Linked DNA regions of Notamacropus eugenii. The protein of the gene in region 2 purifies or fractionates together with the protein of the main gene of each other region. This does not show direct contact. Links are inferred from orthologs where the notes say so. Each region holds a gene or a part of one and is shown on either strand. Other genes may lie near its edges. The genes, in order: ASAP1, CTTN and ACTR2.

Region 1 (7,312 bases), on a different chromosome or scaffold from region 2:
AAAGAGGCAATCCAAATTTTGGATGTAAAAATGTCCTTTTCTCTCCATTCTCACATGCTAAATATGAATAGTCAGTCATTCAGTTATCTCACGGATTGGGGAGGGGAGGAGGGAAGAAGAGATGCTTCTTTTACAAGAAACATGAGGACTGAAAATCAAGACAGCGTCATATGGTACATTATGTTCTGGGACACTGCCATTCTGTGGACTCTGCAGTGTATGTTTTTCACTGAAAGCATTGATAAAATAATTTCCTCTGTAATAATCCACAAAATTTATTTTTCAGATCCATCTGTGGGTTTTATAGGTAGAACACAGAACTTCATCAGGATTTTGTATTGAGTGGTGTTGCCTTTTGGGTTTTCCTTGTTTGTTTGCAAAGAGGCTGTTAAAAAATTGTTAAATAATAAAGACTCAGTATTCCCAACAGTATCAAAAGCTGGAACAGGAACACTTCCCTAAAGCAAAGCTAAATTCATGAAATAGCTCAATATGCTTGGTATATAACAACACTGAGAAAAAACTTTTATGGCTAGCTCCAGAGTTGCAAGATCGCAGGAGGGCACAGAAGATATACTAGGCTAAGATTCAACCAGGAAAGCTGAGTTCTAGTCTCAGCGCTAATACAAGTTATTCAAGTGACCCTGGGGAAATCACTTAATCCTTCTGTGCCTCTGTTTCCTCATCTGCAAAATGAAAGGGTTGGATTCAGCTTCTAAAGCCCCTTCCAACTCTGTAACTATGATCTTCTGAATCACTGTTCCCTTCTGCATCTCAATTTCCTTTACCAAAGAAAAATAGGGAATAGACCAGATGTTCTTAAGGTTTTAGCAACTCTAATATTCTGTTTTTCTGATATCAAACATTCAGGGAAACATCTTCATCTCCAGTTGAATCTATAAAAATGCACTTAGGAAGGCAGCATATTAAACGTTTCCCTGTGAGTTAAGGTTATATGAGACAAGGATTACTTAAAAGACGAATACATTGTACAATAAATATCAAAGTATTCCCCAGCAACACATTACCCCACATTTATCCCCCAAATGAATTTTGCCAAAAATAATCTGGTTGGTTGCAGACCACTCAGGCAACTTCCCACTTAATTATCAAGTGTATGATTATGCCTGAGGCATAAACCAGATTCAGACTGGTCTTCATCTTGTCTTTATCTCTCTAGTGCCCAGGTGGTGCTTTGCATAGTAGGCATTTAATTAATGCTTGTGGAACTGAACTGGATTCTTCTAGAGCAAGGAATCTTCACCCAGTCTGTGAACTTCAAAAAAAATATCGACAATTGTATGTCAACATGAACATTCTGGGAAGGAGTTCTCAGGCTTTCCCAGACTGCAAAAAGGATCCAAGCCCCAAAAAAGGTTAAGAACCCCTGATCCAGAGATCAAACTAGTGACACATAGAATCGAATTTAGGATCTAATCATATGAGCCTATGCTTCAGAACTGAAAGAGGTTTTCAAGAATTTTTTGGGTCAAACTTACAGAGAAGGAAACTAAGGCCCAGAAATGTGAAATGACTTGGCTAAAAGTTACTGAGTTTAAGTACACAGCAAAGCCAGGATTTGAATCTAGCTCTTCAGATAGAAAATGCAATTTCAAAATAAATCTATCACAATGCATTTGAGAGCATTCAACTCATTACCCAGGGAAAACACGCATAATTTACAGAAGAAATCAAGAGCAAGTATTGCCCCAGAAATTTAAGAATAAGCTTCAAACACTAGACTGAGTCTGTTGTTTTTTAAAATCAATATAATAGAACTGAAAATTTAAAGTTTCAATAAATTGCAAGATGGAAAAAACAACCCACTTCCCAAGTCATCCCAAACAACATTCAACAAAATTCAAGTCGGTTTCAACAAGTTACAACCCTGTGTGTTGCTTTTAAATCACCTCTGGGAATCTGCTACAGGGATGGGGGATCTCTGGAGCAGAAAACAAACAATGCACTCCCAGAGTTCTTTCTCCTCAGCTGCTGGGGCAAAGACTGGAAAACATTCCTGTCCAGGCTAATCAGACTATGGAGAGGAAAAAACAGCTGTCAACGAATGTAGAGGTGAAGTCTTTCAGAGTTTTGCTTCTGAAACCTCACACACTTGTGGGAAAACTCCATAGCTGATGAGTTTCTGATTGCTTATTTGGGGGAATACTTGAAAAATATATTAAGATATTCCCTTTCACCAGCTTTTTTCAACGCCTACAATCCTATCTCAGTTGGACTTCCCGCCCTTCCTTACATCTCCCTCCCCCCTACCCTGTAACTCACCAGGACTTGTGCATCTGTATTCCCAGTCCAAGCTTAGGCATCCAAGCTAAATCCATCATTATTCATTCCATGTTGGGCTAAAACTCAGCCTCCCCCCAGCAGCCGCAGCACACCATGTTTCTGCAATACTTCGTGTGAGTATATATGGTGTGTTCTTGGGTCGGATATTAAACTCGATTCCAAAGGACGGTTATCCCGAGAGGTTGGGGTCCTGCGAGTGGAGCTTTATGCCCATTAATGCCCCGCACGATAAGTAAGCACTAAAACTCAGAAGAACTAGCAGGAAGGAAAAATGGACCATGTGAGCAGGGGGAGGGAAAAAGAAAGGAAAAGAGAGGGAGAAAGGAGCGGGGTGGGTGGAAACCCACCACCCAAGCACGCTGCTCAGTGGATAACCCTCGGGTTGATAGCAAGGATTTCAGGAAATCCAGACACTTAAACAGGAAATCTGAATACTGAATAAACATTCCATCATGTCCGCAGATACACGGCACCGCGGGCTGGTCAGTCTCCCTTTAACCCTTCCCCTGCCGGGCAAGCCGGAGTACCGAGTCAATCCCAGCTCCCCCAGCCCCCCGCCCACCCGCCCACCTACCTTTGTAACTCGAGCTCACCAGGAGGGTTCAAAACAGTTCCTGATCTCTCTCCACTGTGAGCCGCTCTGGGAAGCCCCTTTGCAACACACCTCTTTTCTCCCCCCCTCCCCCCTGCCCTTGCCCTTGTCCCAGTCCCTGCCCCAGTCCCTCCTCTCTTCCAGCTTAAACTTTCCTGACAATATTTTTTTCCTCATGCTCCTCCTTTCCCAAGCCCATTGGTGTACATTTTGTGCTCAGAAATGAATTGTTCTCAAGATGCCCATCTACAGCAGCAAGGCATTTAAGAACAGACCTTTCTGCTCCTGGATCCCAGAAGGCATCTGGTATAATATGGGGTTTTTGATTCTTTTTGTTTTAGTTCCTTTTTGTCACAATCGACACTTCTTGGCGCTCTTTTCAACTCTTCTTTCTGCCTTTTAAAAAAATTTGTTGTTATTAATTCTGAGGCTAGTACCAAGGGGGAAGGGAAGGGCATTTCCAAGCCAGGAAAACAGAAAAGTACTTAGAGAGAAAGAGACCCCACACTATGTATGTATGCCATCGATTTGGGCCTCCTAGGAAATTCCATGCACCCTCTCCCTCCACCTCTGCCTTTTGTGTTCTCTTGGATGTTCGACTCTACTTTTTGTGGCATTTCACAAACTGCTTGTTGCCTGGTTAAGTGAAGCTGAGCCTCAAAGCTGGGCTCTTAACCTCTTCTCGTGAAATCTGAAACCAGGGGAGCCTTCAAACACTGAGATTTTTGCTCTAAGCAGAAGACTCAGGGCTCTCAGGATTAAAAATTCTGGAGAAGACCACAGGATTTAGAGTTGGAAGGGACCATAGAGGCTGGTTAGTACAAAGGCTTTCATTTCACAAATGAGGAAACCAAGTCCTTTTGAAGGGGAACTGATCTACCCAAGATCACACACCTAGTTTACTGAGAAAACTGGAACCAGAATCCAGGTCTTCTGTCTTTACATCCCAAACCCTTTTCTGCTGTATAACAGTGCTCTCAAAATGCTTTGGAAAACCTGGCCCAAACTTTTAAAGCTGGTGGTTTGAGTTTTTTAAATTCCTCTTACAACCCATTAAGCACTGAAATTCCAAGAGAATATAAATAGAAATCCAAGTCAAAGGCTGAAATTACTTATGGGCTTAACTAAGGTGCTCTATATAAATCTCCAAATCAGAACAGGAAGGGATTTCAACAGCCAGGGGGAAGTGATTTGCCCAGAGTCACACAAGTACTAAGCCATAGTAACTTGATTAGAATGTAGACTTCTTGCTTCCAAATAGTGTTTTGTACACTATACCATGCTGTGATCTAAACATTCTAATCAGTTTTATAGAATATTTTGCTCAATTTGATAAATTCTGTAAAATAATATGTGCTGGGCCTGAAGTCAGGAAGACTCTTCTTCCTGAGTTCAGATCTGGCCTCAGATACTTACTGTGTGACTCTGGGTAAGTCACTTAACCCTGTTTGCCTCAGTTTCCTCATCTGGAAATTGAGTGGGAGAAGGAAATGGAAAACCACTCTAGTATCTTTGTCAAGAAAACTCCAAAAATGGGGTCATAAAAAGTTACACATGACTGAAACAACTAAACAAAAAAAATTAACTTCAAAAATGTTTATATTTTCTGTGACTTTATATAGATTAAAGTGGTAGGAGAGAATGTAGGACCAAAAACACTGGACTGGGAGTCATGGAGCATGAGTCTGCCACTAATAACTGAATAGCCCTTTAGTGGCTACATGATTTCATCTATTTGGGCATTTTCTCTACAGTTCAGATCCTAACCCTACTAAAGCTTTTCATCCTAGGCAGCTGGATGATACAGTGAATACAGCAGTGGGCTTGGAATCAGGGAGAACTGACTTCAAATCCAGCCTGGGAAACTTACTAGTTATGTGACCCTGGACAAGTCACTTAACCTCTGTTTGCCTCAGTTACCTCAACTATAAAACATGGCTATTAATAGCACCTACCTGACAGGGTTGTTGTGAGGATCACATAAGTTAATTTTTGTAAAATGCCTAGAGCATAGTAGGCACTTCACAAATGCTTATTTCCTTCCTGATCTTATCCATACTTTCTACTAAATTTTCCTCACTTTACCTACTCAATATGGTTGTTCCATTAATACCTCAGGAGCATCCAGTTACTCCTCCTCTATTTATGGCCCTTCCTTTTTGCTACCTGATGGACAGATCACCTATGCTAACCCTCTCACTATACAGCTGAGGCATCTGGGTTCCAGAGAGGTTACATTTTTGAAGTCCTGTTAAATGACAGAGAATGATTAAACTCCAAAGTTCTGGCGCCAGAATCACAATGCACTACCACTCCTACCTAACTTCACAAAGACAAGAAAAATCAGGGCCAGGACTAGAACAGAGGTGTCCTTAACTCTATATCTAGTAACTCTTCCCAGTTCACTGTAAAATACAAAAAGTAACTGTGTGACTTTGGGCAAATGACTTCACTTCCATGGGCTTCAGTTTTTTCACATGTAAAAGGTAGGATTTGGAGTCGATGACTACACAAGGTCCCTTCCAGTAGAGCTGGATTCTATGACTATCGCATTTTTATAACCTTCTTACCTGACATAATCCTACTATGTTCTGAATAAGTAACAAAAGCTCATATTTATTTAGCCTCAGATTGCTTTAGAAACATTTCACACATATAACACCAAGTGCTGCTGTCTCTTGGAAGCCTTTCCTTACCCCCAGCATTGTTAGTCTGTTTCTTCTTTAATTTTACTTTGTTTCTTTGTTTTTATTTTATAGAGCCTTAATATATGTACCTGTTGTTCCCTCCCCTCCCAGCAGAATGCATGATCCTTGAGAACAAGGATTATTTCATGTTTTGTGTGTGCAAACACAGTACAGTGGGCTGACACATAGTAGGTGCTTAATGAATGCTTAGTAGGTAGAATGATTATCTCATTTGATTCACACGATATCCTTCCAACCTTCTAATGGAAGACGCTGGCACAGGACCCCTCAGCATGGCATGCCCACATCAGAGAAGGTGCTGTGCTCTATGAGGAAAGCAGAACTGGGACAGCTCAAAGGAAATGCAGGATGTGCAATTTGGAGTAACCACCCCAAATGTTCACACGGACTATTTGTGCCCAACCTGTGGTAGAGCATTCCAAGTTTGTATTGGTCTGATCAGCCATAGTCGGACATACTGAAACTTGACTCTAGCAGAGTGAAGTCATTTTGGTCCTCTTTGAGAGGGAAGGACAACCACCAACCAATCAACCAAGATCCTTCCAATCCAACATCCTCATTTTAAAGGTAAGGGAACTGAAGCTCAAGAGAGTTAACTTTCTTGAAGTTAGGACTTTTCTACCAAGCCTGGAAGATCGCAACAGTCCTGGAATTCACACCTCAGAAATATGCAAGTACTCTCTGCCCCTGCAACCCCTCCCTTTGGTTGGATGGCTCCTTCCAGAACTTTCATTTAGGGAGGATGCTCAGGCCAGCTCTCTTTATTTCTTCTCCCCAGGCTGCACTGCAGTTTTCTCCATAAAACTCTTTATCAGGATTCCTTCTTTGTGCTGGTCCACAGTGCTTTTCAGTTTCCTTTTATGTATTGTTTTCTTCCATTAGAATGTAAGCTCCCGCAGGCCAAAGAAAGCTTATCATTTTGTTTGTATTTATATCCCCAAGCCTTAGCACTGAGTCTGGAATGTGGTAAGAACTCATAAATGCTGGTTGACCAGTTAATGACTTGCCCAAGGCCAAACAGGTAGTAAATGTTAGAGAGGGAACTGGAACACAGTTTTCTCTAACCTATAGATCTTTCCACTTTCTAGCACTAAGTACAGTGTCTGGCACATAGAAGGGTGCTTAATACATAGCTGTTGATGTATTGTATCACTCTGTCAGGGCGTTGCCTTACAGAGACCTGGGAAATATCTTAGCTTGAAAAGGCCAAGGTTTCCCACTGCATCCTGGGGCATCCCCAATCATCCTGACCTATGTCTTGCCACTGGACTCCAATGACTGGAGAAGAGAGTGGGACTGAAGACTTTGCACAAACCACCCAGCCTCATAGCACATAGTAGCGGCATTATCATACCCATTTTAGTGATGAGGAAACTAAAACCAGAAAAATGAAATGACAAACACAATCACATAGCAAATATCAGGGATGAGCTTCAGATTCTTAAGTCTAATTTCTTTCTACCGTACCACACTGCCACATTTAAAATAATCAAACAAAAGAACTCTAGGTGTCTATGATATTATTTCCTGTCCTTAACGATGTTATTATTTTCTAAAGCTTCTGTACACCCACTATCCTGCAGAAAACAACCTTAAGTTTCCTCCCAAACTCTAAAAGGGTGGATATAATGCTAACATATCTAGTGTGGCAAATATTTCTTTAACAAAACAAAAAACAGTGGAAAGAGGTAAGGTGGGAGAATTTATG
Region 2 (7,566 bases):
TCGGGTGGCCCAGAGTCAGGCTTCCTATGCGCCGGGCACTGTAAGAGTGCCCTGCCTCTGCCCTCAAGAAGTCCACATACTAACAGGAGAGAAGATCTGCCAAGATTAGGTACATCACAGCAGACTGGGGGTAATGCTGAGGGAAAGGCAGGACTTGAGCTGAGTCTTAAAGGCAGGACATGCCAGGCATGGGGAACAGCCATGGAAAAGCATGGAGATTGGAAATAGATGGCATGTGTGAGGAAAGGCCAAAAGGTCAGTGGATCTAGACTGCAGAACACAGAGAGAGGAGTAGAATAGAAAAAGAAAAAAGGCAGGAAGGGAGCAGGCTGCCAAGGGCTTTAAATGCCAACTAGCTGAGTGAATATTAGTCTAGAACAGGGGTGGGGAACCTGATGCCTCGAGACCTTCTAGGTCCTCGGGTACAGTCCTTTGACTGAGTCCAGGTTTTACAGAACAAATCCTTTTATGAAGGGGATTTGTTCTGTGAAGTTTATATTCAGTCAAAGGGCCGCACTTGAGGCCCTAGAGGGTCACATTTGGCCTCAAGACTGCAGGTTCCCCACCCCTGGACTCTAGAGACAAGCAAACCCTGGAGTTCATTGTAATGACAAGGGACTGGTTTTGACTTTTTTTTATCCCCACTGGCAGTCATTGGTTTGACTTGATTGAACAGGAGTGTGTGACAAGATCAGAGGAAGTTCCTGAGGGGGAAGAACTGAGGGGAGGAGAGGAGGCAGGGAGACTAGGGAGGAGGCTGCTGTAATAATCCAGGTGAAAGGCCGGGTGGTGGCTGGGGAGGGAAGAGAACACATCAAATGTTCTGCTGTAAAGAGCTTAGGGATGAATGGGGACGAGGAGCCTGCAAAAGCCACTTGGAGCCAAGGCTCCACAGACCGAAAATGACAAACTGGGAGCCTATGGCAATGGAGAAGGGGACTGAAATGGTCAGACCTGAAGTGGAGGAAAAGCACTTTGTTGAGCTGAATCAAATAGATCAGCCTTCCTGCATCTGGCTCAGCCCCCCAAACATCTCCCACAAGCAAACAGGCTCTGCCCAGCTCCTCCAGAGAGGGAGAGTCTCCTCCTTCCTAAAGGAACTTGTCCAGGCAGTAGGCATTTTCTAAGTGCTTACCGTGTGCCAAACTGGGCTAAACTAGAAATACAGACGGGCAAAACCAGTGCCAGTCTTAGCCCATCCTAACGTTCCAGGAGTGAAGAGGAGACATACAGAATGTGTCTACATGTCTACCTATATCTATATAGGTATCCTTCCATCCATCCACCCATCCATCCATCCATCCATCCATCCATCCATCCATCCATCCATCCATCTACCTACCTACCTACTACCTATCTGCATTTACCTCCCTATATCTGGGATAATTTCAGAGGATAAGCACTAGCTTTAAGGCAGAGAGAGAAAAGCACACTGGATAGTTCTCTGATATCTACATTTACCTCTTAGCAATTCCAAACTAACTTAAAGAAAAAAAGTCTTAATCCCTTCCTTCCTTCCTTCCTGATACTTGCAGACAAACATCCAGTCCCCAAGAATCTGCTTTTTTCCCTTCAATCAGTTCTCAGACAACAGGAATTCCAAGACCCATTATCATTCTCCCAGCTATCAAAACCAGTCCAGCATGTGCAAAAAGGGTGGAAATTCCTTTATTTGGAAAATCTTTTAAATCAATGGTTTGGTAAAAATTGACATATCACAACCTTCCCCTCCCCCCATCCAAGTCCAGGCCAAGAGAGCCTACCCTGCCCTCCCAATCGCACATAGAGCAGGGATCGTCTCCCCAGCTTCTGCTGGGATACAAGTAGCTCCTCCTAGAAATACTTGGATTCTCCAGCAAACATCTAACCAGCTTGGAGAGAAATGTGATGTGCTCGATGGCAGTACACGAGGCACTGACTCATGGAGACTGGGAGGGAGTGAAAAGGCAGAAACTCCAAACCCAAATGCCTGGGTTGGATCTGACGTACTATTCACAGAGGGTTCGCTCTTTGCCAGGTCCCGGAAGAGTGGGCTGATCACCCAAGTGTTCTGGCTCTGCCCCAGCTGACCTGGGCGGTGGGTTCGGTCAGGTAGGAGATAGTAGTAGTCCTAGGCAGACCCTCCCCCCTTCCGCTAAAAAGCCATTTTCTTGGGTGCCAAGAATCCTTTGGCCCTGGTCCTAGGAGCTCCCAATCCAACCAGACGATAAAATCCCACAGGTCCAAGCCCACCTACCTTCACGGAGGAACTTTTCCCTAGAGAATTCTAAGCTCGTGGTGCACGGACGCGGGCCACAAAGCCTCCGCTGCCCAACCTACCCATCCACCCCTCCCCCAGAAAGGGGAATCCCGCAGACAGAAGCCCTCGGGCTGGAGGGGGAGGGGTCGCTGCATTTTCCAGTGACCAGACTGCCGGACATACCACAAGAGACTGGGAGGCAGCGGCCCGAGGGTTAGGGAAGGCGCCACACCCATTTATCTACACCGCCCGAGTAGGAGCGGTCCGGCCCGGCCCGCAACCGAGGCCTGAGTCCCACGGACAAGGACTCGCACACACATTCATCAAACCCAGTTCCTACCTGGCCCTCCCTGCTCTCGTCCCCTACTGTACCCCGTGTGTGGGTGGGGGAGCAGGAGGGCAGCCCCCTTCCCTGACCACAACCCCTACCTACACCCCAGATCGCGGTGGGGGCTCAGTTCGAACCCGACCACATCCACATTCACGCTCAGCAGCGTCCCCTCCCCCCTCTACCTCGGCCAAAAAGCCGCAGACGACAAACCGCAGCAGCCCAGACGCTGCCACTTCTTAGCGAAACCGCAGCCGGGTCGGCCTCCCCGGCAGCCCCTTGCCCCGTGTGGCGCCGCGCCCGGTCCGTGGAGAATCTCCCGCCTCCGCGCGCTCACCTCGGTCTGTGCGTCCGCGCTCGCCAGCGACCACCGATGCCCTGCCCTCCTCTTCCCTCCCCGCCGCTCCGGTCCGGCCGCGGTTTCCGCTCGCGACACTTCCTGTGTCGTCAGCACCGGGATGGGCCCGGGATGCGGAGCCCGCAGGAGCCACCTGAGGAACGGAGCCAGTCCTCCCAGCCCGGCCCGGCCTGCACCCTGCGCCCCGCGTCTCCCTCGGGTCTGCTCTTTCTTTCTGCTCATCACCCCCCAGCTTGGAGCCTAGGGGACTGCCCAGCGTTCCTATCCATTCATTCATCCTTCCCTTCTCCCTTTTCTTCCCTTCTTCCTTTCTTTCATTTCTCATCCCACCCCACGCCTGGACCCTCGGGCTCCCAGGGCATTCTGGAATTCACATTCGGGCTTCCTTCGGAAGCCGGGACCTCTCCCAGCAGATACTTTGTATCCCTTCGGGACTAGCTTGTTTCGAGGGTCGGAAGCCCGGCCCTCTCCCAGCAGATACTTTGTATTCCTTAAAGTTGGCGCCGCCTCTGACTCACCTTGGGCCATTTCCTTCCCCTCTCTGGGTCCAGGAGCCAGAGCTGGGAGGACACCCAAATCTGGTTCCACCTGTCTCCTGAATAGTTCAAGAGAGAAAATGAAAAGCTGAAAAGGACCTCATCAGTCAGCCACTCCCCCAATATCACAGAGGAAGAAACTGAGGGCCAGAGAAGCTAAATGATCCATCCAAGGCCACAAAGGACTTTGTGGAATCCCCAGTGCACTCAGATGTCCTCGAAGTGGATGTGATGAGGTTCAGGGGTGATCGGGAACCCCAAAATACCCGACGGTCCGGGTCGTGCTCGAATGAATTCGACTCAAGCCTTCTTAAAGCCAAAGAAAACAGTTTATTAAGGATTCGCCTAATTGGGTTGCCTCTTAAGGAGCCTAAGCTTTTGTAACGCTTGTATTCACAAGCGGGCCAGACACAATCCCAGCTAGACAGAGTCTGAGCTGGATTGCATCTGAGCGCCTTCATGGAGGCAGGATGAAACTTAAATACAGAAAAGAGTATAGGAGGGATCTGGGGGGGGGGGGGGGGGGGGGCCTCTGGTAGTCCAGGGTGATGGGAGGAGGGGTTTAGGAAGGGTCTTGAGGAGAGTCAACAAATATCAGACTTGGGGGCGCCTAAGTGGGAAGCAGGTAGGGCAATCAAGGGATAACAGACAATGATCACTGATCTGTGTATGAAAGGCCAGATTCTGTGAGGAGATACAGGAAGGGATCAATTTGAGTATGAAAGGTCAGAGTCTGTGAGGAGATACAGGAGAGCTCAATTTGAGTATGAAAAGCCAGGTTCAGTGAGGAAATTCCAGGGGAGCTCAAGGAAGTTCCCAGAGTCTGAACCTCATCAGATGGAGTGCCCGGCCTGGAGTTAACCCTAAAATCATCTCCCTGAATTCAAATCTGAGCTCAGACACTTACCAGCTGAGTGACTCCGGGCAAGTCACTTCACCCTGTTTGCCTCAGTTTTCTCTTTTGTAAAAATGAGCTGGAGAAGGAAATGGTAAACAGCTCTAGTCTGTTTACCAATAAAGTCCCAAATGGGGTCACCAAGAGTTGGACAAGCCTGAACAAGGATAGCTACGGCGGAAAGGCCCAGATCTGATTTTCTGTAAGCTTTTGAAAATGTTCTTAGACCAACACAATGCCTAGGTTGGGGTCAGATAAGTTTTCCCAGAAAGGGCCTGTGACCTCTACTCTCTTTGATCCTCAACAATCCCCAGAAGGAAGATGCTATATTTTCTGCATTTCACAGATTAGAAAACTGCGAAAAGCAACTCAGGTTCAACAAATATTTGCTTGAAAAATATCTCCGTAGCAAACAACAGCCAGGCCTGTTCCCACATCTTGGCTAAATCAAAAGCCCTTTGCATTACACCCTACTGTTCCAGAATGTCAGGGCTGAAACTAAAGAGTGGAGAGTCAAGGGAGTTTGGGGGGTGGGGGTGAAGGGGGAATTTTTTCTCTGGAAACAAGAAGGGCTGCATCTAAAAGGGAATTACTATACTAGGTATGTACCCCAAAGGGAAAAGGGACCACATGTACAAAAGTATTTCTAGCAGTTCTTTTACTGGTGGTGAAGATTTGGAAATTGAGGGGATGTCATCCAGTTGGAAAATAGCTGAACAAGTTGTAGCTAAGGATTGTGATGGATTGCTACTGTGCTATAAAAAACAAAAAAACAAAAAAAAAAAACTATGAGGAAAGTTTCAGAAAAACTTGGAAAGACACAGATGAATGGATACAAAGTGAAAGGTGCAGAACCAGAAGAACAAGGTACACAGTAAATAATAGTGTATGATGATCAACTGAATCACTTAGCTCTTCTCAACAATACAACAATCCAGGGCAATTCCAAAGGATTCATGATGAAAGATGCTAGCCACCTCCAGAGAAAGAACTAATGGAATCTGAATGCAGAATGAAGCATACTTTTTTAAGAAAAACTTTTATTTTGTCCATTTTCCTTCACAACATGAATAATATGGAAACGTTCTGAATGGCTGCACACGTATACCAAATCAACTGCCATCTCAGAAAAGGAATGGGAAGGACAGAACTTGGAACCCAAAATTAAAAAAAAACAAACAAAATGCTAAAATTTGCTTTTACACACAATTGGGGGATTTTTTATGTGATAAAGGGGGGAAATAAGGGGAGTTACTGATTCTGAAAGTAAAAAAAAAAATGCCAACTCCAATAAGTCTGTAAAATCCCCCAGGCAGGGTAGTACAAACCAGGGACTGGAGATGGGGCAGTCAAATAATGTTGTCTGTCATTCACTTGTTCAGTTGTGTCTGACTTCATGACCCCATTTGCGGTTTTCTTGGCAAAAATGTTGGAATGGTTTGCCATTTCCTTCTCCATTTTACAGATGAGGAAACTGAGACAAACAGGTTAAGTGCCCAGAGCCACACAACTAGTTAAGGGTCTGAGGCCAGGCATTCTATCCACTGTGCTACCTAGATGCCTACCATCTCTCACCTGGTATACATCCTTGGAGGGCCTAGAGCTGTTTAATGACACTTATCTTCCAGGAGTCATTATAATTTAATGACACAACACAATCCCACATGACACTTTCACATAAGTGAGTTCATTTGATCCTCACAACCAGATAGCCAGTGCCAAGCATCATTCCCATTTCACAGATGAGCAAACAGGCCAGTAGGTTAACTGATTTGCTTAAAGCTGAATAGCTAGTAGTAAATGATTGAACTACAGAAGCCTCCATTGGCTCAAATGAATGAGCACAGCTGGCAGCTTCCTCCTAATAGGGCTGGTCATCACAGCTGCTCATGGGTACAATGTTCTTATAGAAGCCTGTGCAGTCACTGACTGTTCATCCCCTCCTGCAGAATCCAGCTATTGGGTGCCACCTGCCATAAACTCAGCTTTTAATGTTGACCTGGAAGTCTTGTGTTAAGCAAGAAGTGTCCTGGCAGAAAAGTAATTGAGTAAAATCTCACCCTACATTCCCCCCAAAATTGGGGTGGGGGGAGAGAAGTGTGGTACAGGGAGAAAGAGAACCAATGTTCAAACTCTATTTCTGAGGCTGACTCGGAATTGGGAATCGAGGGGGTGTCCATCCAGTGTGGTGTATGAATGCAAAGGAATACTGTCGTGCTATAAGAAATGAGCAGGGCGACTTCAGGAAAACCTGGAAAAACTTATATGGACTGATGCTGAGGGAAGTGAGCAGGACCAGGAGAACACTGTACACAGTAAGAGCCACACTAGGTGATGACTGACCTTGACATTTAGCCCTTCTCAGCAAAGCAAGGATCTAAGACAACTGCAAAAAACTCAGGGCGAACAATGCATCCACACCCAGAGGAAGAACTTCGGAGCCTGAAGGCAGATGGAAGCAGACTATTTGCCCTCCTCTCCCTTTGTTGTTGTAGTACTTCTTCCTTCTCCTAGCTTCTCTCATTCATTCTAAGTCTTCTTTACAACATGACTAATGTGAAAATGTTTAATATGAATGCATAAGTACAGCCTCTATCAGATTGCATGCCCTCTTGGAGAAGACAGAGGAGAGAGTGGGGGAGAAAATTCAAAACTCAAAATCTTATGGAAGTGAATGTTAAAAACTAAATATAAAAATTTTTTTTAAAAAATGGAACTTACTTGGATGCACAAGGGAAAAAGAAAACCCAAGACATTATTTAAAAGCCATCTAGTCACTTGAACTGCCTCAACTGATTGAAGAGTGGGTAAGAATTGGGTGATTTTCATGAAGTGTAAAAAAAAGAAAAAGAGGGGGGTAGGAAGCAGGTAATTCATTAGGAAAACTCTGAAGGGGAAAGAGCCTGCAACCCCTGTGTACATGTTGTCACACTGATGAATAATCACCCTATGATCTCCTGTTCGTGCTGGGCTTTCCTCAGCTTTTTTACTAAGCAAAAAACCACAGAGTTGCAGTGAATGAAGAGGAAAGCATACTGCCCTGTGGCAGCATTTAGCCTCACTTACAATAATAGTGGCGTTTATAGAGTGCTTACCATGTGCCAGGCGCTGGGTAAGGGCTTTCCAAATATTGTCTCATTTGAACCCCACAACAACCTTGGGAGGGGTGCTGTTATTATCCCCATTTTACACAGGAGAAAATTGAGGCAG
Region 3 (7,720 bases), on a different chromosome or scaffold from region 2:
AAACATTTCCAAAGGACTCTTGATGCAAAATGCCATCCACATCCAGAGAAAGAACTATAGAGTTGCAATGCAGAATGAAGCAGAATATTTTCTATTTCATTATGGGTTTTCTTGCTTTTTCTCATGGTTTCTCCCATTCATTTTAATTCTTCTATGCATCATGACCAATGTGAAAATGTGTTTAATAAGAATGTATGTGTAGAATCCACCTACAATTGCGTGAAGGGAAGAGGGAGGGAGAGGAAGAAAAATTTAAAACTTATAAAAATGACTGTTGAAAACTGAAAAGAAATTATTAATAAAAAAAGCACAATATTTAATGCAATAAAAAGATTGCAAACTTGAAAAAAAAACTTAACTACTTGGAAAGCTGCAAAAGACATTTTCAAAGTTTCCAAGTTTAAAGATAAGAGACAGTACTGAAAGTGGAAACAATTTAGATTGTATTTCTGAAGTTATCTGAATTTCTACCTGTTCAAAGAAAAAACTGTTATAATATAACACTCAAATGCAAAATAATGAACACTTAAGTGTTAAATTATTATGTAGCAAATGTATTTATCAAACAATGACTAACATTTCTACACAGGTTTCTTTGGGATGCTCAAAATCATTCGATAAACTATACTATAGCACACATCTTTCACTTTAAATTTTAAAACTACTTCAAAACTATTTTAACAGGTACATAGTTTAAAAAAAAATCTCTACCATAAAAATATAGCCCAGGTAATTCTCTTTCCATCAGCTGTCCCCTTCCACTCCATATAATATCAGGCTCCTGGACTTCCATATACCACTCCCCCTTGCTTTCCAGTTTCCTTTTGAGTGTGGTCTTCTCCTCTTTCTCCCCTCTTAAATTGTGAGCTCCTCAAGGGAAGAGACTTTCTTTTTCTTATTTGTATCTCCACGGCTTAGCACTCAGCCAGGTAACAAAGTTGCTTAATAAATGTTTATTGAACTGAACTGAGAGCCTAAAATCATCTACAAACTCTTAGGAGGTATTAGAGCAAAAGACTCTTAAAAGGGAACTGATAAATAGGTAGCCACCACCACCTTCTCCCTGCCTCCCCACTCCCAGAAGCAAGGAACAGCTCCCCTACATGAAACCATAAAGAATCTGACAGGATAATTTTTTCTGATGTAAGAAAGGGGATTTTAGAAAATTTGATTTTGGTATTCACAAGAGCTGATTAAGTCTGTTTACCGCTAAATACAAGTGGCAAAATTAATGTACTGTACATAATGACTTGTGTTAGCTCTTGCATATGAGTTTAAGCTCACAAGTACATATGCTAACTTTAACGTACATGTCAGCTCCCAAATATACATGGTAGTTTTCATGTTCGTCTATGTGTGCACTTGAGTATACTGTAAATTTAACATTTTAAAAACATGAACATATTCATTTCATTTATAAAAACAAAATTAAGGTACATTTATTTATGTATTATACATAATACATGTATTATACATAATATATGTATAATATATATTCATGTATTATATATTATGTATTACTATGTATTAAAGTACATTATTATGTATTAAAATTAAATGAGTTTTTTAAAAGAAATATATATTAAGGAATTTCAAAAGAAAAAAAAACATTTATTCTTCCTGCACCAAAATCACAATTTTCAGAAAATATGTAGAAACCACAATTATTAATTTGTAAAATGAAGGAAATAAGCCTTGTTCAAACCATATTTTGTCACTTTAATCCTTAAAAGGCAAAATGTGACATGGCATACGCTTACAACCTCTCATCATTTAAAAACTTAGCTACTAATTTCCCCTGGTGTGTGCAAGAAGGCTGTGTTTAAGAAATAAGTTTTACCATATATAGTTTCCTCTTCATAGCATTGTGGTTGAAACTGACTCTCTTACTTCCCACTGAGTCATCAAATGGTAAGAACATTCACAGTCTGTCACAGTCTTTCAGGCAAAAATTAAAGAGTATTAGCTACATTAGCTTGAAAAAACATTTTATGAGCAAATTTAAACCTTGCTTTTACTTGTCTTTTTTCTTCCACTGATTTTATCAGAAACTAGTCCTTTTTCATTATTTTAATCAGATAATTATTAGAACACCATCCTGCAATCCTATTTGTCCCAGAAAACTAAAGACTGAAGAGTTATTGACTTTCACCTCAAAGTTATTCTTTCTTAACCAGATGATGGTTTTATTTCAAACAACCTCAGTATCTCCATAAAATCAGCAGAGTCCCTAAAAAATCCTACCCACAGTTAAATAACAGAAAATTCATACACTAGTGCAGAACTTCTATAAACTACTAAAATTCATAGGGTGGTAACCGGTAGCCAGCAAAGTTCAGGGTTCAACTACATTGTTGTTGAGTCGTTTCAGTTGTGTCTGACTGACTTCATAAATTCAATTTTTGGAGGTTTTCTTGGCAAAGATACTGGAATAGTTTGCTATTTCTTTCTCCAACTCATTTTATAGATGAGAAAACTGAGGCAAGCAGGGTTAAGAGCTTTGCCCACAGTAAGTGTCTAAGGCCAGATCTGAACTCAAGAAAATGAGTCTTACGGACTGGCTTCTTATCTACAGCACCACCAAGTTGTCCCTGCTACGTAAGGATTGATTCTTGAATGAATCACATAGTATTAAAGCTGGAAGTGATTTTGGTGGTCATATGGTCCAACCCCACTATAACATACTTGAAAAGAAAAGTGGTGATCCAGCCTCTATTTGAAGACCTCCAATGATTCTCTTAAGGCAGCCCATTCAATTTTTTGTTCAGTTCTAATTCTTAGGAAAATTTTCCAAACATCAAATCTCAATTTGTCTCTTTGCAATTTTCAAACACTGCTTTAGTTCTGCACCCTAGGGCCAAACAAACAAGTTCTGTTTCTCTTCCACAAGAAGGCCCTTCAAATACTTGGAGAGACAACTATTCTCTCCCTTCCAAGTGTTCTCTGCGTCAAGCTATCCATTCCCAAATCCACCAACCAATCCTCAATTGAAAGAGACTCAAAACCTATGTAGCCAAGAATAGAGTGAATGCAGAAAATTGAGGGAAAAACTCTCACAATCTCTCAGATAGAATATGATTGAGTCATAATATTTTTGTGATGTAGGGAATGATGAGCTGGTGGATCTGGAAAAATATAGAGACTTGGACTTATGAAGGAAGATGCTATCCATCTTCAGAGAAAAAGATGACAAATGGAAACACGTATAATACGGTCTTACATACACACATTTGAATGTATATGTGTATATATGTATGTTTATGTATATGTATATATATGTGTATGTATATTTATGTTATATATAAAAAATATATCTGCACTTAATTGCAGCCTTCTTGGGGAGGGGAAAGGGAAAAATAAAGTAAAAAGTGCACAGCAGAGGATAAAAGAAAATCTATACAAAAGCAAAGAAAAGATGGACGGCTTTGAAAATGTGTTGTACTTATATTGTTTTTCTTGAAATGGGAATTCATTGCTTTATATTGAATCCTCTCGTGTTCTGCTATGTATATGGCAATTTTTTTCTTCTATTATTTTGTATTTAAGTTCAAAATAAATTTTAAAACTTTAATCCAGTCCCAAAGTATATTAAGTATTTTGAGCAGCTACATCACTCTCCTGCCTCATACTGAGTTTGCATTCCACTAAATTCCCCAGATTATTTTTTCAAAAACTAACAAAAAAAACCCTGCTAACTTTCCCTCTCCCATCCTGTGCTTTGGAAGTAGGTTTCTAAAGAACTCAAATCTAAGACTTTGCCTCTACCAGATTTTATCTAATTAGATTCTTCCCAGTGTACTAACCTGTTGAGATCTTTTTGGATGCAATCAAAATGTACTAACTATCCCTCTCAGCTTTGTGTAAAGCCTTCCTGATCTCCAGATTGGAGTTACTTTAGGGTACAGATTCACTGCCAATCCTTGTGATGCCACTTTAGAGAGCAGTTATGCCAAATACTGGAGGAGTTTAAGGGCTAGGACATTTTGGAGAAGAGGGAGAGGAATAAGCATTGATATGTGCTCCTCCTACATGCTAGGCACTGTGCTAAGTGTTTTATTAACATTATCTCATTTGAGCCTCACAACATCCCTGCAAGGAAGGTGCTGTTTTTAATACCCACTTTATAGCTGAAGAAACTGAGGCTAACAGATATTAAATGACTTGCTCAGGATGGTACAGTTAGTGTCTGAGACCACATCTGAACTCAGGACTTCTTTACTACGGGCCCTTCAAACGCCACCAGAAGCCTAACTGAGAAGTATTAGCTTCCTTTCTCTTTGCCTTACCCTGAATGTTATACGGAGTGGAAATATTAGAAATGAAGAAGTAAATACTGCACCTTCATCCTGCCTTGTAACTGTGAAATGCTTGGGCATTTTTAAGCCTGACCAATATTCTGATAATTTTATATTTCAATGGAGTTAGGATTTCATCCCTCCTAATGATGAACACTAGAAATCATCCATGCACTCTCATTTTCTCCCATAAATTGGCCACAAAGGGTCTATCTAATGATTTGGGGACCTACTTCTCATTTTCCAGGCATCAGTGGATATCAAGGAAGTGCAGGCTATCCATTACTCTTTGTTCTTGACTGGCTTACCTTTTTTGGTTTTCCTGATCATGTATTTCTGATTACATCTTTATCACAAGGCCTTTCCTGAGCCATTTCTGGTTTGGAACATACTGTATGCTACCCCTGCCTACCATGTACCTTTTGGTTTATCCTCCATCTAATTCCATAAACCACAGAGTATGATTATATGTGACTATGTAACATCACAATAAGACTACTGGTGTTAAAAAAAAAATAAGAGCTTTTGTTATAGGAAGAAGCTTGGAGGGGAACTGTCACTAAAATAATTGTGCTATTTAACAAACACAGTCTAGCCCATTATTCTTCTTGTTTTATTTTCAGCACAGCTCATAACTGTATTAAACGATCACTTAACTTTTTTTTAAAGCATCTTTTAAGTGTCCAGTCAACTCATACAGGTTAACGTGGATTCTTGCTCTGTTGCTTATTTTCTTTGCTTCAAAAAATTGTTGAACAATTTGTTATTGTTCAACAAATAGAAGCTACAGGTTGCCTATCAAACTGCATAGCAGTCTGGGATGGAGGCATTCTTTAGGTTTCTCTATGTGAATAGTTAAAACTGAACTAAATGATTTAAAAGGCTCTGTGATCTTCTGGGCCTTGGTAAAACTCAGCACATTATTATTTGCAAACAGAAGAATCTGAAGGCAAAAGGCCTGGCCAATAAGTAGTAAAAAATCACCAAACTTTGGCATAAACCATCGCTAAAAAAACTTTGAACGAACAAAGAACAAATGAAAATGCTACATGCATACTATGGCCTTGCAAATATTTAAATGCATATGAAATGTTGTTCTAGAATAAAATCAACATAAAAGACAGGGTGTGATTGATTTACTAGACTGTATATATATATATGTCTATATCAAAAGCTTATAGAAATGCCAAAGTATCCATGAATGTATTATGATGCTATCAATATTACTTCATTACTAATGCTGGTTCTTTCTTCATTTTAAACTAATTAATGTATTCATATTTGCAGACACTAACAATATATATACACACACACACAGTTACAGAGAAGGTGTCAATTTGCATTGTCTGCAGAGGGAATTTCCTCATTTAGAAGTTCTCTAAGCGAATGAACTCTCATCTACTATCACTAACCCTATATAGATCTCTAAATACATGCACAAAATTGCTTTCTGAACATTACTGTGAGTATAGTGGAAATAAATCAGAGATAATCCTATATTTCAATCTTCTCCTTTGACAAAAATCAAAATGAAAGTGTCCTAAGAAATCAGTGTATTTTTTCCAGTACATTTTATATTTAATAATCCCTTTAAAAGGCTATGGCATCAAAGCAACAGGGATTCCCAACCATTTTTTTTTTCCAACAGCCCACACCATTATAAGAGGCAAACCTGTGTAGTACAGTAAGTAATAAATTACCAAGCTGGGTTCTAGTCACAGTGATGCCACTAACATGAGGTGTTACCTTGTGCAAGTCACAACTGCTCTGGGCTTCAATTTCTTAATTTACAAAAGGTTTACTTATGTTTATTTCAAGTTCATTATGTTTTCCACAGTATAATTCTAGAAGAGTTTACCAAAATAATTATTTTTAATTTTAATTCACATACTAGACCCTGCTGGGAGAGAGAAGTGTAGGCAGGATCACTAAAAAAGCATCTGTACATCGGTATGCTGTGGCAACCTCAAGAAGAGTTGAGAACAAATGTACCATAAAAACGTAACATAAAAACAAATGTAACATAAAATCATTCCTGGAGAACACATTCCAAAGAAATCATGTTTCAATCTTGAGATTTGTTCTGATTTTGCTTTCTGATAAAAAATTTTAAAAAAAGGCAGACCTTTCTTCCCCTCTCCCAAAAGGAGCCTGGGGGAAGAAAGGGAGGGGGAATAACCAACCGTTTTTACAACTCCCGGCGTTCGGGGATCTCATTTAAGATCATACCCATGGGGAACTCGCAGTAGGAGAAAAAGAGGAACGGGAGGGGCTTGGTAACTTCTCCCAAGGTCACCACCACACCTGGGCAGCCCTCGGCCCCCGGGGCTCGCCCGCCCAGGCTCCTCCGACTGGACGTCCACGGTGGGCGCCTCCCCCAGACCCCCTCCCGGGAGCCCCTCCGAGACGCGGCTTGCAGACGGAGGCTGCCAGCCCTGCTTCCTTTTTTAGCCCCTCGCTTCCTGCCTCCGAGGCTCTACCTTCGAGTTTACAGGAAGAGGAAGGCCCGACCACTCTTGTTTTATAAAACCACAAGCTGCTCGAGATGGAGCGGGTCTATCTTTCATCAGCCACCCCCGTTGTCCTCGGCAGCTCCTCCAAGGCACTCAGGGAGGGGGCGAGCAGGAGACTATCCCCCCATCCCCCGTCCGCGGGGATGAGAGGCGCGGCGTGGGGGTGGGGGGCTGACAGGAAGAGGGGCGGCGGGGGCGGCGGGGGCGGGAGGGCGCAGGCCCCCCACCCCCGGGGGCCCGCACGGCGCCGCGCCCAGCCCGCCTGCCCACACACCTTCCTCTTCCCCCGGCGGGCCCTCTTCGGCTCCGGTCCCCACAGGCCTCCCCCGGGCTCGGCGCTTACCCCGGTGCCGTTGTCACACACCACCACCTTCCTGCCCTGGCTGTCCATGGTGAGCCCCGGAGAGAACCAACGCCGCCTGCCCGCCTCTCTCCCTCTTCAGCTGGGCTAGCCGCCGCCGCCGCCGCCGCTCCTGCCGCTGGGGAAGCTACCACAGCCGCCGCCGCCGCCGCTGCCACCGCCCAGGATCGCTCGCTCGCTCGCTCTCTTCCTCTTCCTCTTCCTCCTCCTCCTTCTTTCTGCCCCTCCTTCAGCTCAACTTTCTGGCCCCAACCGGAAGTGGTTTGCCCCGCCCCGCCTGCCGTCTAACTGACAGCTCCTTGAGGGGGGAGGGAGAGAAGTCGGATGGAGGACTTCGAGAAAGCGTCCAAGCGAGGAGTGGCAGCGCCGCTGTCCAATGAGAGGCTGGAGGAGGCAGAGGCTCCGCCCCGCGCCTTGTCCTGCCCATTGGGTCTTCTCTCCCTCTCTCTCTATGGTTGCCTACTCCCGCCCACGCTCTCTGCCCCGCTTCCGGCCGCCGCGCCCTGCCACCGGAGCCCTTCTTCCTTCCCTTTCCTCTCGTTTCCAGTCCT

What was found.
Region 1: the proteins of CTTN (region 2) and ASAP1 purify together in Homo sapiens (affinity purification with western blotting; 6 studies listed by BioGRID and IntAct, with this or other methods). This does not show direct contact. The link is inferred for Notamacropus eugenii from reciprocal best matches to the Homo sapiens genes CTTN and ASAP1.
Region 3: the proteins of CTTN (region 2) and ACTR2 purify together in Homo sapiens (affinity purification with mass spectrometry; 3 studies listed by BioGRID and IntAct, with this or other methods). This does not show direct contact. The link is inferred for Notamacropus eugenii from reciprocal best matches to the Homo sapiens genes CTTN and ACTR2.

Annotation. Positions count from the first base shown.
Region 1 is NC_092875.1:111,872,203-111,879,514, reverse strand, and holds the start of ASAP1 (arf-GAP with SH3 domain, ANK repeat and PH domain-containing protein 1), read right to left. Parts: upstream 3,039-7,312; 5' UTR 2,879-3,038; intron 2,844-2,878; exon of another isoform or gene 2,284-2,843; intron 1-2,283. UniProt on the Homo sapiens protein: Possesses phosphatidylinositol 4,5-bisphosphate-dependent GTPase-activating protein activity for ARF1 (ADP ribosylation factor 1) and ARF5 and a lesser activity towards ARF6.
Region 2 is NC_092873.1:22,595,389-22,602,954, reverse strand, and holds the start of CTTN (src substrate cortactin), read right to left. Parts: upstream 3,003-7,566; 5' UTR 2,905-3,002; intron 2,842-2,904; exon of another isoform or gene 2,753-2,841; intron 1-2,752.
Region 3 is NC_092872.1:639,069,589-639,077,308, forward strand, and holds the start of ACTR2 (actin-related protein 2), read right to left. Parts: upstream 3,042-7,720; 5' UTR 2,686-3,041; intron 1,962-2,685; exon of another isoform or gene 1,939-1,961; 5' UTR 1,922-1,938; coding exon 1,841-1,921; intron 1-1,840. UniProt on the Homo sapiens protein: ATP-binding component of the Arp2/3 complex, a multiprotein complex that mediates actin polymerization upon stimulation by nucleation-promoting factor (NPF).